3 linked regions of the Macaca mulatta genome follow. The protein of the gene in region 1 interacts with the protein of each later gene in a pairwise test. Links are inferred from orthologs where the notes say so. Each region holds a gene or a part of one and is shown on either strand. Other genes may lie near its edges. The genes, in order: FHL3, GCM2 and SLC25A46.

What was found.
Region 2: the proteins of FHL3 (region 1) and GCM2 interact in binary tests that used the Homo sapiens proteins (3 or more experiments, as listed by UniProt). The link is inferred for Macaca mulatta from reciprocal best matches to the Homo sapiens genes FHL3 and GCM2.
Region 3: the proteins of FHL3 (region 1) and SLC25A46 interact in binary tests that used the Homo sapiens proteins (3 or more experiments, as listed by UniProt). The two-hybrid records come from large-scale screens. The link is inferred for Macaca mulatta from reciprocal best matches to the Homo sapiens genes FHL3 and SLC25A46.

Annotation. Positions count from the first base shown.
Region 1 is NC_133406.1:202,795,916-202,799,129, forward strand, and holds the end of FHL3 (four and a half LIM domains protein 3), read left to right. Parts: intron 1-94; coding exon of another isoform or gene 95-114; coding exon 115-270; intron 271-378; coding exon 379-553; intron 554-1,390; coding exon 1,391-1,560; intron 1,561-1,652; coding exon 1,653-1,839; intron 1,840-1,963; coding exon 1,964-2,118; 3' UTR 2,119-2,641; downstream 2,642-3,214. UniProt on the Homo sapiens protein: Recruited by SOX15 to FOXK1 promoters where it acts as a transcriptional coactivator of FOXK1.
Region 2 is NC_133409.1:172,240,928-172,244,679, reverse strand, and holds the start of GCM2 (chorion-specific transcription factor GCMb), read right to left. Parts: upstream 2,796-3,752; coding exon 2,651-2,795; intron 1,800-2,650; coding exon 1,562-1,799; intron 601-1,561; coding exon 477-600; intron 1-476. UniProt on the Homo sapiens protein: Transcription factor that binds specific sequences on gene promoters and activate their transcription. Through the regulation of gene transcription, may play a role in parathyroid gland development.
Region 3 is NC_133411.1:119,560,406-119,564,057, forward strand, and holds part of SLC25A46 (mitochondrial outer membrane protein SLC25A46), read left to right. Parts: intron 1-141; coding exon 142-184; intron 185-1,834; coding exon 1,835-1,892; intron 1,893-3,652. UniProt on the Homo sapiens protein: Transmembrane protein of the mitochondrial outer membrane that controls mitochondrial organization.

The sequences.
Region 1 (3,214 bases):
TCTGTTTCTGTGTTTTGAATGCAGAGGCCTATTTGCCAGGAGCCAAGTCACAGCCTCTCTGTGTGACCCCAGTTCCACCTTGTGCTCCTAACAGGGTTCTCTCTCCTTGCCACGATGAGCGAGTCATTTGACTGTGCAAAATGCAGCGAGTCCCTGTATGGACGCAAGTACATCCAGACAGACAGCGGCCCCTACTGTGTGCCCTGCTATGACAATACCTTTGCCAACACCTGCGCCGAGTGCCAGCAGCTTATCGGGCATGACTCGAGGGTAAGGAGAGGGCCAGGCCAGGCAGGAGGTGGGTGGTGACCAGTGGAAGGGGGCAAAGGATGGATCCACCAGGCCTGGGTGCCAGTGCCCCCGCTGTGTTCGCCACAGGAGCTGTTCTATGAAGACCGCCATTTCCACGAGGGCTGCTTCCGCTGCTGCCGCTGCCAGCGCTCACTAGCCGATGAACCCTTCACCTGCCAGGACAGTGAGCTGCTCTGCAATGACTGCTACTGCAGTGCGTTTTCCTCGCAGTGCTCCGCCTGTGGGGAAACTGTCATGCCTGGTATGTCCTCAGGGGCTCATCTTGTGTGAGAACTGGCATGCCTGGCATCTGCATAGGGTCTTTGCATGTGTCTGTCTGATACATGGAGACTTCGTCTGTGTAAAGACCTGCACACACAGCATGTTTCTGGAAATTTAGTATATGCAGGATCTGTTTGCCTGGTATACTGGGGGTTACTATGTGCAGGCAGATTGACACATGTGATACATACTTGGGGGCTTAGCATGTGTGAGTATCTGCATGTTTAGTACATGTAGGAACTAGAGGTGTGCTGAGACTGTCGTGCTTATTGCATTGGGTCTTAGTGTGTGCAGAGGCAGGTAAACAGAGGGCTTAACATGTGTGGGGACCTGCATGCCTAATAGAAATGTTGGGACTCAGTACCTATGGAGAATGGTGTGCCAAGGAGATGCGAGGGCTTAGCATGTACTGAACCTGTCATGCCGAGGGCATTAGGGCATATACTTACTTGCCTGGTACATGTGGGGTCCCGTGTGAGTGCTGAAATCATCACATCTGTTATATGAGGGCTTAGCTCATAGTGAGACTTCATGACTGTTACATGGAGGCTCGATATGTGCTGAAATTGTCATTTCTGGGACATATGGGGGCTTAACATATGCCAAAATCCTCGTGTCTAGCTGGGTCATCATGTCCGGTGTCTGGGGAGAGGTTAGCATGTGTAATGTACATGGGGCAGGGGGGTTCTTGCTGCATGTGCACTGGACACCACCCTGCTCAGGCTGCGAGAGGAGTGGAGACTCCCGGGGAAGTTACAGAGGGTGGCCCTCAGGAGCATGGGACACAGCCTCTAAATGGGACCCCTGTTCCCCACAGGGTCCCGGAAGCTGGAGTACGGAGGCCAGACATGGCATGAGCACTGCTTCCTGTGCAGTGGCTGTGAGCAGCCGCTGGGCTCCCGTTCCTTTGTGCCCGACAAGGGTGCTCACTACTGCGTGCCCTGCTATGAGAACAAGTTTGCTCCTCGCTGCGCCCGCTGCAGCAAGGTGGGGGCTGGGCCAGCCAGGTGGGGGTGAGTAAGGCCTGTCGTGGGGTGGGAATCCCCACTCATACCTACTAATGAATGCTGCCCCCACAGACGCTGACACAGGGTGGAGTGACATACCGTGATCAGCCCTGGCATCGAGAATGTCTGGTCTGTACCGGCTGCCAGACGCCCCTGGCAGGGCAGCAGTTCACCTCCCGGGATGAAGATCCCTACTGTGTGGCCTGTTTTGGAGAACTCTTTGCACCTAAGTGCAGCAGCTGCAAGCGCCCCATCGTAGGTGGGACAAGGGTCAAAGAACGGAGTGGGTAGGGTGCAGGCAAGGGAATGGGATGTGGTATTGGGTGAAGTTGAGGGCCGGACCATCCCTAGATCTGCAGAGCTAACTTCCAGCCTCCCTCCAGGACTCGGTGGAGGCAAGTATGTGTCCTTTGAAGACCGACACTGGCACCACAACTGCTTCTCCTGCGCCCGCTGCTCTACCTCCCTGGTGGGCCAAGGCTTCGTGCCGGATGGAGACCAAGTGCTCTGCCAGGGCTGTAGCCAGGCAGGGCCCTGAGCCAGGCTCCTGGACCCAGGCTTTCCCATACCACGGGCCCAGGACTGTAGCTCCTTTTCTAAACCACCTCTGGGACTTAGCCCCACCCCCCAACCAAAAAAAATGGGTCGCCCTCTGGGCTCCAGGATTGTTTCTCCACGCCAGCATCCCCAAACTGGTACTCCCTGACCCAGGCCCCCAAACCTGGGCTCTTATAGAGCCTCCATGAGTCAAGCTGCCTCCCCACACCTGGACTCCAGAACTCACCCTCTCCCCTGCAGTCTGGGTTCCCAGACTGAGTCCTCTCCCCAAATCAGGGCTCTAGACCCCAGCCCTCCAAACCTGGGCTCTGGGACTTAGGCCCCCTTAAATCTAGACTTCTCTTTATAGGTTTTAGGTCTCCTATGGGTGCCTGAGAAGTCCTCAAAAGTGGACTGTTCTCAAGCTTGACCTGCCCCACCCCATCCCCCCGGGGCTGAGGCTGTGGGGACAGCGATCAGGGGCCCACCGATGAGGGGGCCCTAGGGTACAGGGTGCTGCCCAGCTGGTGGCCACCGAGTGTCTTCTCATTTTATTTCAGCTCCATTTTGCCCATAGATGGGCAGAGGGGTGAGATTGGCTCACCCCCCTTCCAGATTCTGCAATAAAGCGGTGTGAGGAAGCAGGGGCCTCCGTGTGTGCCTGTGTGTGTGTGTGTGTGTGTGTGCGCGTGCGCGCGCAGGGTATAAAGGGGAAGGAAGGGTTTTTGCAGACTGGGAGGCTCAGAATCTCTTCTAGACCTCGTCCTTGCAGGGCGGGGTGGAGGGGGGCCGGGCCACGGGGTGGGAAGTCTCTCCCCATGAAGGGGATCCCCGCCACGGCTACCGTCCCTCTGGAGCTCGGCCTGCCTCCCTGCTGGCAGAGGGCTTTTTCCTCCATGCAGGGAAGGGAGGGGTTTGGGGGAGGTTCCAGACGAAAGCGAGGGTGGCGATGGGGTGCCTTAATTGGCTGGTACCAATAGTCCCCTCCGCCAACAGCCCTTCCCAAAGCCCGCAGAGCAAGGACCCGGTTCCGATCCCCAGTCTGGGCCTAGACCCTCTCAGCCCCCTTCCCCCTCTTCCCAAGGATTAACGAGGGC
Region 2 (3,752 bases), on another chromosome or scaffold:
AGTGCAATGGGGTGGTCTTGACTCACAGTAACCTCCGTCTCCCGGGTTCAAGCGATTCTCCCGCCTCAGCCTCCCGAGTAGCTGGGACTATAGGCATGCTCCACCACGCCCAGATAATTTTGCATTTTTAGTAGAGACGGGGTTTCTCCATGTTGGTCAGGCTGGTCTTGAACTCCCGATCTCAGGTGATCCGCCCGCCTCGACCTCCCAAAGTGCTGGGATTACAGGCGTGAGCCACCGCGCCCGGCCGAGAAGACACATTTCTAAACCCAATTCAGCCTTTTGTGGAGTCCAGTTCTCTTTCTACATTTGAGGGGGCCTCAGAAACCCAGAAATTTTGCGTGTGTGTGCGTGTGTGTGTGTGTGTGACCACGTCATGGTCCGTCCGCAGACTCTTCAAGAACTTGAATGCCATTCTCCCTCCCTCCTTCGGATAGACAGCGCCCCGCGTGCCCGCACACACCCGGTTCACTTACCTGAGGCATCTGTGGATCGTTGATGTCCCAGCTGAGCTGCATCCCGTATGAGCACACGCCGACCGTATCCTGCACCGCGGCTGCCGGCATCTGCCCAACTCGCTCGCGCTTTCCGCCCAGGGTTCTGAAAAATAGAAGAAAAAAGGAGAGGTGCGCCAGGTGATTTTTTTCCTACTCTTTAAAGAAGAAAGTGGGGTATGTGTGTGAAGGGGAGGGGCAGAGAGAAAGAGAGAGAGATTGTTTAGAAATCTGGAAGTTGGGGACAATGGTTATGGACCCGGGCGGGGCCCTGTCCTCGGCCGCGGTGCTGAACGGTCTCCACCCGAACGGTAGCATCGACGTCTGCAGCTGATCCCTCCTTTATAAAGATGCATCTCCGGGGGACTCCGCCCTGTTTCGCCTACCTCGCTAGCGCCCACGCTCCAGGGGCCGGCCACCACCTCCACCACAGACCCAGGAACGGAGGTGGAGGTTAAACTCAGCCCTGGAAGCAAAGGGAAACTGCAGCCAGGGGGTGGGGGTGGAGAGGGTAAGTTGGAATGTATCCTTTAAGTTTAAAACCTTATTATTTTCTTCTCTTTTCTTCTTTTTTGTCTCACTCCGTTGCCCAGGCTGGAGTGCAGTGGCGCCATCTCGGCTCACTGCAACCTCCGCCTCCCAGGTTCAAGCGATTCTCCTGCCTCAACCTCTCGAGTAGCTGGGATTACAGGTCCGTGCCACCACGCCTGGCTAATTTTTGTATTTTTAGTAGAGACAGGTTTTCGCCATGCGAAACCCTTACCAAGCTGGTCTTGAACTCCTGACCTCAGGTGATCCGCTCGCCTGGGCCTCCCAAAGTGCTGGGATTACAGGCATGAGCAACCGCACCCGGCCTATTTTTTTTTTTTTTTTTTTTTTTCTAAACGCATCCAGCTTCCCTGATTTCGGAAAGGGGCTTAGATGGAGGCTTTGGAAGCAGAGGCTTTCCAGCAAAGTCCCCTGAGAGTCAACACTCAATTCCAGTAGAGCATGGGAACCGTGCATGGGCCCCTCTGCCGTCCGCGCGCTCCCTACGCTGAATAACCGTGCCCATGCCTCCTAGTTACGGGTCAGCCCATTTTGGGCCTCCATTGCCGGCTCTTCCCCTAACTATTGTGCGTGTCTCGGAGTCTTCGCTCGGCTGTTTGGGATGTGTGAACGGGCGCCACGCCTCCGCGTATGCTCGCGAGCCCAGGCGCCTTCGCGCTCCCGGGGACTTCGGAGGGACCTGGCCCTGCAGGAACGGAGTCCTACAAAGTGAACCCGGAGGAGGTGGGGGGAAATGAGCCTGGGGTAGGTAGGAGCCTGGGGAAGGACGGAAAAGGGAGAGGGGTAAAGTCCCGAAGAACTCCTAGCTTTCTCCACTGCTTTGGCTCCCTCTGGGTCTCAGCTTCCTTATCTGTTAAATAAGGGGTTATGGTTCGGGTAGCTCTCAGTTGCCACCCACCTGAACAGAACTCTTTTTGAGACGGAGTCTCACTCTGTCGCCCAGGCTGGAGTGCAGTGGTGCAATCTCAGCTCACTGCAACCTCCGCCTCCCAGGTTCAAACGATTCTCCCGCCTCAACCTCCCGAGTAGCTGGGACTGCAGGCGCGCGCCACCGCGACCAGCTAGTTTTGTATATTTAGCAGAGACGGGTTTTCCCCAAGTTGGCCAGTATGGTCTCGATCTATTTACCTCGTGATCCGCCTGCCTCAGCCTGTCAGAGTGCTGGGATTACAGGCACCGCGCCCGGCTCACAACTCTTTTAAAACTCTTAAAAAACAACAACAACAACAACAACAACAAACAAACAAACAAACAAAACTTTCCTGATATAGTCGTGGAAATTTTACTCCATTACAGTCTTGGGAGGCTTTGGGGGATTAGAGAATCGCGGTGGTGCGGGGGTGCGCAGGACTATGTGGGTTTTCCGGGACTGGGACGAAACCTTCCTCATCTGAGCAGCCGTCTCGCCCAGGGCTACTATGGCACTTGGAGACCCTCAGTTAAAAAAAAAAATCGATTGAAGTGACTAAAGTCACTCTGACTACGCCAGGGCCGGATTCTGGGCGGCCAGGGAAAAGGGTTTCTGGAATTTATTCCCCGCGCCCTTGTTTTGCAGCTGCACGCTTCCATTCCCAGCCCTAGCCAGAGAAGAGGAGCCAACTCCTCACGGCGAATTCCCTTGATAGAGGAGGATGAACCGAACCCATGACCCTCCAGACCTGGGGAGCGACGCGCCCTAGACCTCGGCACCGCAAAGCCCGCGCTCGGCACACGGACGGGTGCTGCGCGGGACTCTGCCGGGAGGGCGCCCATGCCAACGCCTCTTGCAGGATTAGTGCCTTCGGTTGGCAAAAGGCGGATAAAGGAAGAGCGAAACAACCTCAGGAAGCTAAGGGTGGTCCACACTCCCTGTCCTTTTACTTCCCCAGCCAAAGGCACAGTGAAGCTTGCTTAGAAAAGTCGATCCCGCGGCTGGGCGCTGTGGCTCATGCCTGTAATCCCAGCACTTTGGGAGGCCGAGACGGGAGTATCGCTTGAGCCCAGGAGTGCAAGACCAGCCTGGGCAACATGGAGAAACCCTGTCTCTTCCAAAATAATAATAATAATAATTTTAAAAAGCTGGGCATGGTGGCGTGTGCCTGTAGTCCCAGCTACTAGGGAGGCTGAGGCGGGAGGATCGCTTGAATCCAGGAGGCAGTGGTTGTAGTGACCTGAGATAGCGCCGATGCACTCCCGCCTGGGCGACAGAACGAGGCCCTGTCTCAAAAAAAAGAAAAGTGAAAGAAAGAGAGAGAGAGAGAGAGAGAGAGAGAGAGGAGGGAGGGAGGCAGGGGGGAGGGAGGGAGGGAAGGAAGGAAGGAAGGAAGGAAGGAAGGAAGGAAGGAAGGAAAGAAGGAAGGAAAAAAGAAAAAAGAAAAAAAAAGAAAAGGAAAGAAAAGAAAAAAGAAGAAAAGAAAAGAAAAAGAAAAAGTATCCCGGTCTGTCACAGAAGCCGGCCAATAGCAGCGGACCAGCGAACTCTGTTGGGGAGAAAGGACAACTTTGAGCAGTTCCTCGCGATTTTTTCCTCCCTTATCTTCAAGCTTGGGTCCTCCTCCCAAGCAAAGCTGAAGGGTCCTAGCAGAAGAAAGTGATGTGTTCATTCCCAGCCTCCTTTCTCCCGAAGTTCTCCCCTCCTGAAAGGTCCAGTTAGTCGTCAGGGTTTCTGATTAAAATCACTCTCAAATGGTCGCCACTAAGGTCCAGTTGGGAACGAAGAGATGTGTCTAC
Region 3 (3,652 bases), on another chromosome or scaffold:
TGGCCCCATCAGAATTTGACTTTGAAGTTTAAATGAACAGCAGGTTAATAAAATAAATGTTTAAAAATTGTTTTTAGACTAAACCTAAATATTGGTTATCAGTAATCTTATTTTTTTCTTTTTTTTTTTTTTTTACTTTAGAACAGCTGAATAGATTTGCTGGATTTGGTATTGGACTTGCAAGGTAATGTTTTATCTAAAGACGTTTAAAGCTTTTATTTATTTAATTTAGAGTTTTTCTTTAATTTATAATATTAAATGATTATTATTGCTTCCTTTAGGTTGTTTCTTTGAAGCAGCAGCTTAAATTTGGAATAATATTTTGCAGAAAAAAAAACATGATCATTATTTAAAACATATAATTTGATAGTTTTTCCAGTAAGGATAGACTAGTCATCCAATTTTATAAACACAAAGTAATTTTGTAATGAGTATTGTAATTGTTTTCATGGGTCTGTCCAAAGAATAAAATGAAGTGTAATCTTATCTCTCACCCATCAAAAAAAGTAATTTAGAATGGGGTTCATGAAGATCAAATGACTCTGCTGACAGGAACTTTGTTCATAGGACATTTTCTGAAAGAAATAAAAATTACATGGCATTTAATGATGCCATGTAATTGACATGGCATTTCCCACGTCAAACATATAGAGATCTAGTTTAATTTTATACTGTAGATATTAATATTATGTATTGTTTCCCTTACTTACCTGTTTGCAGATCTGGTTTTCATTCTTTTCATGGGTCTATCCAAAGAATAAAATGAAATGTAATCTGTCTCTCTCCCATCAAAAAAGTAATTGTGCATGGAGGCTTCTCTCTAAACATTCTAATGCTTATAAGATATTTAGCAGCATAGCATCTAGATTGTGTTCATAATCAGCGTTTGGTGATAGCATTACTTTATTTTTTTTTTTTAATATCTAACGATCATTTTAAGAAAAGCCTTTAGTCTTGATTATTGTGATCCTTAGTGAAAACCATTTTCAAAAATATTGGAATTGCACAAAGCTTACATTTCATGCCATAATGATCACTATCATTTTAAACATTTTAACCAAGAAAAATACCTTATTTGCATTATTGAACCCGAGGGTGTTAATGTCAATATAAATAAAATCTGTGTTTTCCATTCTGCTGGAGTTGTTTTTTGCTTCAATATTTATACTTAAAGCTTTGATTCATTTGATAGACTATTATTACATATAAATATGTGTGTACGTGTATTTATATGTCACTCTGAGACCTGAAATCCACAGCTGTAATTGTTTTGTGGGGCACATTCTCAAATCAGAAATTTGATACATAAATATTAGTCAATTAACATGGTCATTAAGAATCTTATAATTTAAGGTTTATACTTAAATTTATACTTAAACCTTATAATTGAAGTGCATCAAAACCAACATTTTTAGAATGGGGTTCATGAAGATCAAATGGCTCTGCTGATAGGCATGTTGTTCATTGGATATTTTCTGAACGAAATAATTTGCAGCATTAAATGCCATTTAACTGATGTGTCATTTCCCACATTAAACAAACAGAGATCTAGTTTCATCTTACACTACAGACATTACTATTATGTATTATGTATTGTTTCCCTTATTTACTAGTATGCAGATCTGGTTTTCATTCATTTCATATTGAATTTTGTTATGGGTAGAATCATTTGCAAACATTTCTAGACATTTTTAAAGATCTGTTTAATTTTTTTAAGAATGGAAAACAAAGTAATGCATGATTCTTCAGGCAAGAATAATTTCAGAAAGATACATGTTGTAAATTTAATTTGTCTCTATGTAGACATACATATATATAAATTATTTTTATATAGTCTCTTTACAGAAAATGTATTGGCACATCCTTGCATTGTTCTACGCCGCCAATGTCAGGTAAATGTCATTTCTTTGATCTTTTGAAGCAATACTTCTGACCCTAATATGAAGGGCAGAACTTACATAAATGACATGAAACCAGGTAATTGTTACTTCATGTGAAATGTTCCGAACTTTTTGGTCTCAAAACCTCTTTAAAGTCTTAAAAAAATATTGAGGATCCTAAATAACTTTGGTTTATTTTGGTCATATCTGCTGATATTTACCATTTCAGAAATTAAAATTGGGAAAATTTCAATGTATCTATATAATTCATTAAAATAATACATCTATTAGTAAGATAATATATTTTTATGAAAGTATTTTGCATTTTTGCAAATATTTTTAACACCTGACATAATAGGAGAGAGCCAGTTTCTCTCATATGCTTCTGCAGTCAATCTGTTGCATCACGTGGTTTTTGAAAGAAGCAAGGAAGTTTAGTCTTGTACACATGTGTAGTTGAAAGCAGGAGAGGAGTATATTATATTCTTTTGAGATAATTGTGGGTATTCTTTGCAATTGCACCAAAACTCACTGTGTGGTAGTTTCTTAAAGGTTATTTGCAATGTGAAATCAGAAATCATTTTAGTGAACTCTTTACACTTTGTTACATTAAAAAATCTATTTAATTATACTGCATCTTGAATAGATATTTTTACTTATGCATGATTCTGTATAATTGTGCATAAGTTATTTGAAAAATATTGACCAAATGAGTTATATATATCTTCCTGATGTTAAGACATTTGATTATAAAATATCAAAAAATCATCTTCATTAAAAATACTACTGATCTCACTAGAAAAGTCTTTAAGTATTGTCGGCTCTTGACGATGGATATAGATTTTCCAAAATTCTGAGTTTTACTTGAAAATTCAAACTTATCATTGACAATAAATACTGTTAGTTATTTTTGTTTTAATCAACAATCTCACTTTGTTTATTTTTTAAAATATGTCTGTCCTAAGGGTGAATAGGTATAGTCTGTCAATGAGTTTTTCTAAGTAAAAATGATGTTCCGTGAAAAAAGTGGCTAGTTCAGCTTGCAATTCTATCATACAAGTGCTTTCCTCATGACAGCAATCTTACTTCCTTATGTAACACACAAAATATTAATTAGAAAGAGGATGTGTACTCAAAGGTCAAGGATTCATAAAATTAACATTTTGTTACTTCATCATCAAGGATATCCCTATATGAAGGTTGCTTTTTTCTCCCTATGGGTAAATGAGGTGAAAAATACTGTAAGTACGAAAATACAGTTTGATGGTGCTGCCTCAATTTGTGCTAATGAGCTGGGAGTTTTACCTACCATTGCTTTTGTACCATTAGTGAACATAGCAAGACAGTGAAAAAAGCAAATGATATCTTAGTAATCATTAGGAAAATAATTTTGAACTTGTCAAGCCACTGAAAGGGTAATGGGACTCTCAGGAGTCAGTGGACCCCACTTGCAAACTCTGTTATAACCCACTTTTTGTTTGTTTGTTTGAGACAGAGTCTCGCTTTGTTGCCCAGGTAGGAGTGCAGTGGCGCGATCTCAGCTCACTGCAACCTCCGCCTCCCGGGTTCACGCCATTCTCCTGCCTCAGCCTCCCAAGTAGCTGGAACTACAGGCGCCCGCCACCACGCCCAGCTAATTTTTTCTATTTTTTTAGGAGAGACGGGGTTTCACCGTGTTAGCCAGGATGGTCTCGATCTCCTGACCCCATGATCCGCCTGCCTCAGCCTCCCAAAGTGCTGGGGTTACAGGCGTGAGCCACCGTGCCCGGCCT